Linked DNA regions of Xenopus tropicalis. The protein of the gene in region 1 interacts with the protein of each later gene in a biochemical or structural test. Links are inferred from orthologs where the notes say so. Each region holds a gene or a part of one and is shown in the gene's direction. Other genes may lie near its edges.

The links.
Region 2: the proteins of pdzd2 (region 1) and pkp4 form a complex in vitro, tested with the Homo sapiens proteins (2 studies listed by BioGRID and IntAct, with this or other methods). The link is inferred for Xenopus tropicalis from reciprocal best matches to the Homo sapiens genes PDZD2 and PKP4.

The regions. Positions count from the first base shown.
Region 1 is NC_030677.2:200,908,449-200,912,269, forward strand, and holds part of pdzd2 (PDZ domain-containing protein 2), read left to right. Parts: intron 1-1,165; coding exon 1,166-1,310; intron 1,311-2,709; coding exon 2,710-3,821.
Region 2 is NC_030685.2:73,687,517-73,692,002, reverse strand, and holds the start of pkp4 (plakophilin-4), read left to right. Parts: upstream 1-1,623; 5' UTR 1,624-1,804; intron 1,805-4,486. UniProt on the Homo sapiens protein: Plays a role as a regulator of Rho activity during cytokinesis. May play a role in junctional plaques.

The DNA.
Region 1 (3,821 bases):
GTTCTGTTGCCACCTCCAATATCTTTGTTAATTAATGGGAAAGTTGACTTTTCCTAAGTAATGTTTATCTTCCATTTATTTTCCACCTAAACAAGGAAAAGTTTAGATGAGGTTATTTTGTAGGCTGCCAGTAAAGAGAACAGGGGTAAGTGCTGTCATTGTGACTATATGGGCATTCTGCATTCTGACCCAGCCAAGGCAAGTTATACTCATTAATACATATATACCACTCCTTAAATCAATAGATACATGTGGTTTTCAGCAGGGCAGGAGGATATCATATTCAGTTTCCCATGGTGAGCAAACAATTCTTATTACTTGACAGATTCCCTTTTAAAACCGGACCTTGTATGCGATGGTGTCTGTGCTGTATAATGAACCAAGATAAACAACATCCCCCCAAGTACTTTAACATCTAATGGTGTGCGCACAGGATGGAAAGTGGTTGAGGGGAGGGGGGAATGCTTTCTTAATAAAGGTGCATTTTAAGTATTTAATGGGCTCTGTCTACCCTTGGTCCCCTCTCCCCTACAGTCTGTTCCTTTGTTTTTACACCACCCTAGCAGCGGCATTTGTTTGAATGCCAGGATGAAGTATGGATTGGAAGAGAGGTAATTTAGAAAAAGAAAAGCTGCAGTAACAGTCTATCCCATAATCAGTCTGCTCTCTGACAAGGAAGATGCAAACTAGAAAGGCATATAATTCAGAAACCGGACATAGAAGACAACAGTGAAGTTCTCATAACTTTCCCTTTACCTCCCAAGAGGGTATTAGTGGTATCACTTCTACTGAGCTCCCTCTTTGTACTTACATATTTCTTTATATTAAAGCTCAATATAAAGGTTACCGTCCCCTTTAACTGACATTGGGGGAAACATTTTTTACGAAGGAGTCAGCCCTACAATCATGTTTGGATTAAAAGCTCGTTATATTGCTTAAGAAAACCACAATTTAGCTCTTAAATGTATCTGCCGGCAGCTCAGCTTATCCTACGACACCATTACAGCCCCTCGTCCCCTATGTGCATATTGTATTTCTTACTGTGATTGCCTTTATAAATACTTATTTCTCTGGAACTGTATGAATGGTGCATGTTCTGCCCTTTGCTCCGGCTGGGACATGAGCTGCAGCCAATGGAACTGATTTATAACTGTCATTTTGTTAGGATTCTGTGGGAAAGTTAGCGGCTGGCGATGAGATTATATCGATTAATGGCATTCAAGTGAGCGAGATGTCCTACCAGCAAACTTGTGATTTTATCCAGTGCTTGCCTTCATCCGTTACACTGGGAGTGCGGAAGCCGCTGTCAGGTAATGGTACAATGCTGCCGGGCTCATTCCTTTCAGACTCTGGGCCTGTTTCACTGCCTCATTCTGCCCCTGGGAAAATCCTGGTTAAAGGCTTCATACACACGGATGGTTTCTGTGCTTTATATATAAGTTCAAGGTGCTCTGCATTTGAGGGTATCTTGAACGCACCCTACAAGGGGCCTATATATATAATACTGCACCTCCCATCTTAATAAATCACAACAGCCATCAGATGCTTGCTGACAGTTGGATATTAGACCTGGACAAAACTGTGTAGGTGAATGGAAGACCTTGGGAATACCCTTGTTTTATGAAGCAAGAAAGCCATAGCAATGTCTCTTTTTATTATCCATAAATGGTCTATATAACTGTTCTCTTATTCACAGATAATAAAGCATTGAGTCAAACTAGGCTTCTTTAATTAGAATTAGTGCTCTCGACTGCTGTAGCAGATCCTACAATACTTACTATCTAGGTTCCCCTGTTGCAGTTTTCCTCTAAGCTAGCTAGGGTTCCCCAACCGTTTTTTACTTGTGAGCTGCACTCGGATTGAATTTTATTGAATTTCAACTGTCCGGTGAAGGCAATGAATAGGCTTGTATAAAGCGAAAACCGCTGTTCTTGACCAGAGTTTGTGAGCAGGTAGAGGGCTTGAGCAGACAGACTGATAGAATGGCTCTATAAGGCCAGATAGTGTGTCTCACCCCAGACTTACAGTGGTGAATACTGCACCAGCAATTCCACTGTGATACACTCTGATAGTTGGGGGAGACCTAAGCGTGCAGGTTATGGCTGTAGCTACAGGGGATAGTGATGGATATCCTGAAAGACTATGTGAAGGACGTTAAAGAGGCTGAAGAATATGATTGATATGGCCTTTTTCTTTAGCAACAGAGTACTGGCCAGATGTGAAACCAAGGTAACACTTGTATACTGTGTGTCTTTCCCATGAAGACTCGCACACAGTGCAGAAAATGTACAACCTGATACATATTGACAATAAGGTTGTACCAGCCTTTGGGTTTGGGTGGGGAAATAGGTGACTAGGCAGGGGTATGGGGCAGGGAGATGGGCAGGGCAGATGTTGGGCTAAACGGGCATGGAGAAAGTCAGCTGATCTCTGAGGGAGCACACAGCCCATCACTAAATGGCGGCTCAAGGGAAAATATTCAAAATAGCAATATTTAATGATATATATATTCAAATTTGGTAAGATTATTCAATAGACCACTTAATAAGATAAACTATCTGTTAGTATTGATTGTAGAGGTATAGTTTTACTTTAACATTGTTATGATTGCTACAAGGCCTCATTGAAAGAATCCATGGCATAAAGGTTTAATGTATTTGAATGTTCAGTTGCTGTTTTTTAATACTGGATTACATGTTTTTCTCACAGCTGTTGATAGGCTGTCACACATCATCATGGCCTCAGGAGGAGACCAGCAAGGACCTGTGGAACAAGTGGAGATCCTCAGGCAGGAGAACAGCCAGTGTAAAGGGCCCCAGCACACAGCAGATTGCTCGACTCCAGCCAAAGTGACTATTGAAGCAGGGAATTCACTGACAATCCAGTGCCTGGAAGCAGGAAATGACAGCACCGTCACTAATATTGATGATTTTATTAATGAGCTTGATTTTTCTGGAGCTCCTTCATGTGACTTTGCTAAAGATTCCAACACCACAGAGGAAATGGAAGCTTGTGTGGCCTCGGGACAAGGGAACCGTGTCGATGCAGAAACAGAAGAAGCCAAGACAGAGCTGTGTAGCAGCATTACAAATTTCGATGAAAGCACAAGCCAGTCGGAGAACATTTTGGCATTTTCTGTTTTGGACTCCCTGTCGATGGAAAAAAAATTTGCAGTGGACAAAAGCTGCCTAAGTAGTTATTCCCGCAATTTCAGCAGCTTGACCGAGGAGGATTTCTCATTGTCAGACCAAATTTTAAGCAGTTCGCTCGACCTGCCCATCTCTATGTACGTAACGGCAGAGGATTCCGACTCGGAGTCGTTTCTTGATTCTACAAGCGACATGATCTCCTCCCTTCAGAACCAGTCTTGTATGTCAGAACTACAAACCGCCACAGATTCTGAGGAGGAGCAAATTGAAATTTGTTGCGATATTAAGAAAGGAGACAGTGGAGCACATCAGTTCTATGACGTGCACCAACTGTACCCAGCAGCAACCTTAAGTGAAACCCCAAAAGATTTGCCAGATGAGAGGTGTGGTGGGAACACTCTTCCTGGTTTTGGTCATTATACTTCAGTAGATCGGGTAACCGTGGAAAACATAGTCAATAGTGGTCATCCAGATGCTTCACCTACCATGTCTTTGTTAAACAATGACTCTCAGGAATTACCTTGCCGCAGTGAAATAAGTTTAAATGACTACAGTGCCTTACAAGTGCAAGATCCCATGACATTAGGAGTAAAAGACAATTCTACTGATGTTCATAACGTTGGACTGGTGCCACTCTCTGAAGGTAATGTATATCGTTGCCACTTGGGGCCT
Region 2 (4,486 bases), on another chromosome or scaffold:
CTTCTCCTTTAAGATGGGTGATATTGAGCTGATCTGATCAGGAATGCAGGCTGTTGGGATGAGGACCACACCAAGGAGCCAATACAGACCACCCCAATGAGATTTTTAAACCTGCCCTATTTTAGATATTGGCCCCATACATGGCAGGTAAACTGCTGCCTCGGTCAAAAGGGGCCAAATCAGCAGCCTAATTCTGCCTGTGTATGGCCACCTTTACACCTGTGGGCACCTCCCATGGGGGGCCCAGGATGGTCTCCTCTTAGAAAATTTCCTGCTATTTTCCCGTGCAAATTTAAATACAAATTGTATGTGAATATTTTTCCTATTTATGAAAATATGAGTTTGGTTTAGTCGCCTATGATAGATCTCTGCTATAGCGGGCGCCTAAACACTCCGAAAGCTCTTTGCGTGTCTTTGGTATTACGAAGTTGCGTGAAGTTTCCTCCTTCAGGCAACTCTGCGCGACTTCGGAAAGCTGAAGCGATGCATCGGCCTTTACACCAGCGACTCCTTTTGTTGTCGGTGGAAAGGCATCTCCTGCAGTAGCCTAAGGGTAAGAACCCACAGAGCGGTTTAGTCGCTCACGATAGTTCTTCGCTATTATGGGTGACGGCGCGATTTGCGGAAATCGCTGAAGTTGCCTCGAGAGGCAACTTCGGAGATCGCACCGCCGCGTATGCCATCCCACCGGCAATTTACTTTTTCACCGGTGGGATGTCATATCGGGGAGATTAGTCACCCGCAACAAGGGAGATTAGTCACCCGCAACAAGGGAGATTAGTCACCCGCAACAAGGGAGATTAGTCACCCGCAACAAGGGAGATTAGTCACCCGCAACAAGGGAGATTAGTCACCCGCAACAAGGGAGATTAGTCACCCGCAACAAGGGAGATTAGTCACCCGCAACAAGGGAGATTTGTCGCGGGCGACTAATCTCCCCGTGTACCAGAGCCCTAAAGCAGTAAAACTTATTTGGTGGCGGAAACCATAAAAACCCTTTATCAGAGCTGTCCTGAGTTTCCAGCATTCAAAACAATTCAATTTTCACATTTTTGTTATGTCAGAATAAGTCTTCATAGGATGATAATGACTGAAAATTCTCAAAATGTTTTTAACCATTTCATTAGGGGAAATATCTATACAAATAAAAGTAAACTGTATAAAAAACACATTTTTTTCTCTTATACTAACAAAAATTAGCTGAGAATCCGAATTTTACCCAGTGAAACTGAAAGGGCCACCCCGGGCAAAGGATGCTGGAAGTTGTAGTTCCATAAGAAATAGAGAGCTGCCGGTTTAATAAATGGAGACTATTACTAGGACGGAGGGAGTTGGGGATGTGGATTAAGTGACAATGTAAAAGCACAATGTTGCCAGCATCTCACCTTCAGATCGTTCTGTGCCGATAATAATTCCAGCCCTCCTTTCCCGCATTAATGGTACATCCCGAGCAGAGTATCGTGACTGACCAAAACCTTCCACGCCCCTTTCAGTCAACAGCATCGGTAACCAAGGCAACGGCAGGCCAGCGAGCGATTGGTGAATTTGGAACCCAGGGGCAGGTCAATAGGTAAGATGGGCGGGGCCTCGGTCGGCCAATCGAAGCGAGATTGCGCTGTGACGCGGAAAGCCCCGGAGCCCGGCGCTGGCTCGGTGTGCTGGGGAGAGGGCGGCAGGGTTCGGGCACCGCGCCATGGAGACCGGGTAGGGGACAGCACGTCTGGGAGTTATACTGCGCCTTGGGAACGGGACCGTGCAGTCCCTCATGAGGCGGACGGACCCTCGGGGAGGCTTGAGCCGGCAGGTAAGTGCGTTTTGCTACGGGACCACTGGCGGTGCTCGCATGATACGTCCCGGAGTCGGGACCCCAAGCTGCTTGGTGTTGGGTGGGGGCAAGTTTAGACGCATTCCTGCTAATGGAGTAAAGAGCCGCTCTGCATCAACTTCCCACCTGGCCATGCACTCCGGCATCTCCCACCTGTGGCTCTTCCGGGCGCTGTCAGGGCATTCTGGGAGTTGTAGTTCATTAATAGGTGGATGATCCCTGATATGTTCTAGTCTACACTTCCAACATCCCATATTGCTTGATTTTCCCATCCAGCCTTTTGCATTGGCACCCAGCATCCTCCTATCTCTACATTTCTATTTTATTTTCAGCCAATGCCAAACTGCCCCTGTGGAATGGGCACCCTGCACCCCCACTACCTTACACCCTATTACTGTAATGAAAAGGATGCAGTTCCCTAGCACTCTCTTTTGTTCATGGACACCCAGCTCCCTGGCATTATCTGATGGCAGTCATGCTCTTATATGCACCACATGGGCATCTAGACTTCCCTCCCATGCCCTAGCCTTGTATGCCGAGTCATATGTTGGTGCCAAGTGAGCTTGCAATCTTTTGAAAGCCTTTGAATTACTTACTGAACATGCAACTTAATGCTTCCTGCTTTTGCCTCTGCAACTAATACTGTCTGTATTGTATGGGCTGGAGGGAATGTAGTAACTGATACCAGTCATGTTGCTATCCTTCCTGTTGCCTATGATTGCAAGCTCATGTGGTTCTTAAAGTGACAAGTCATCCGCGTACATGAGGAACAACAGTGTGTCTATTGCTTGGCATTGTATTTTGCTGTAACTGTACTGTATGTGGGTTTGTGCCTTGTGTACTTGCCTTCTCTCTTTATGAGACACATAATAGAGTTAGTGCAACAGGCAGTACACGCCGAGGGGTTCCTTCTCTATAGTGACAATTTGTGATATTTTATAGCACTTCACTTGCCCTTGGGCAAGAGACTTAAAGCATTTGGCCAGTGAGCAACCTAATAGTCTGTAATAAAACTGCAACAGAATAACAATGGCAGAATCGCAAGTGTGAACAAGCCCTGAGGTTAGACATGAGCAGACTCGGCACACATTGCAACTTTACTTTTGACCTTTGGTGGATTTGTGGGTTGGTTTCTAATATTCTGATATATTGTTTCCATCTTGGTCAGCCAAGGAGCCCCAATGTTTGGGACCTCACTTGTTGATCTAACACTTCCAGCATTCCCTGTGTATTGGAGGGCTGTCGGTTTCCCATCCTTTATTTGATTATTATACTTCTGGCTTTAAATGAAGACTGTACCATAGAGCTTGTACTACATTAAGAGGGGATTTATGCAGACTCTTTCAGAGTAATGAAAGGTTCTGTGTCTCTGTAGGATATGGGTCTCTTTGGATCACTATAGAAATAATTGTATTTTAGCTGTTGCTGTATAATATTATGTGGGGGATCTAAGTGCCGTACTAAATGCGGTTTGACTTACACGGGCAACTGCAGGGATGCTCATGCTGCTGGTTCTGCATACAGAGCTTCGAGTGTCGGCGTAGCCATCCTTGCAGTGCCGAGAGGGATAGACCTGGTGCTGTTCCCAGCAGATGACTAGGCAGGTGGGTACGTTGGATTAGGAATGCCAGGAATGCATAGGGAAATCCAGCTGCTGCAACTGTGGTCAGTGTGCACTGCCTTTAACCCCTGTTTATTGCAGCTCTATTTACCATATCATTGCTATCACAGGAAAGCAATCTGGCCCCAAAGTGGGGGAGCAGGTCACACTGATATTGTATGCAAAAAGGCAGGGTTTCCTCCTAGCAGCCTTCATGCACATTGTTGTTCAGCTTTTTCCACTATCCATCCATCTGCTGAAGGTGACCTTCTCTTCTCGCAGGTAAAGGGTTAACTAGCTCAGAGGGTGCAGTTTCCCACTGCCTCTCCTCAAGTATCACATCAGCGGCTGATTCATTCTTGTACACAGAGACGGCTTGGCAACAAATTCAGTGCTGGCCTGGGCAGCACTCATGCACATTCAGCTTGCTCGGTTATTCTCATGTTCAGGCACCTGGGAGTGCATCCTACCACATTGTATCGTTTTTATACCTATTATTGCCATATGTTACTTTAAAATAGCCAGTGTTGGCAAACTCTGCGCCTTGAGTTGTACAACAGAATATGTCTCATGGTAATGTTTTTGAAAATAAAGGGGAAGTTAACCTTTTGGTGTAACGTTATCCAAGCAGTTAGTCATTTTTCCCCCTTTTTAAAGATTTGCATTTCCTTTAACTGTGTAGACAGATTATTGGCCTTGTATTCTAACATGGGTCACTTGGCAGATTACAATTTAAAGGGATAATATATATATCCAAGCAAAATAAATAGAGCTTAAGATGAAACTAAAATTCTGCCATTTTTTTAAATTTAATAAAAATGCATGTTTCTTTGTTAATATAAATCTGCAAAGAGGCATTTATTATACTTTGACACTTTGCTCCATATGTAATAAAAGGCACTAAGGTTGCCGTGGTGCAGTAATCCATAGCAACCAATAAGATGTCTGTAAACAGGTATCCTGTAAATTCTTTCTGCTGACTTGTTGCATTAGGTTACTAGACCTGGGCAAACGTAGTGTCTTTTTATTACATAACCCAATTATATATATAGATATAATTA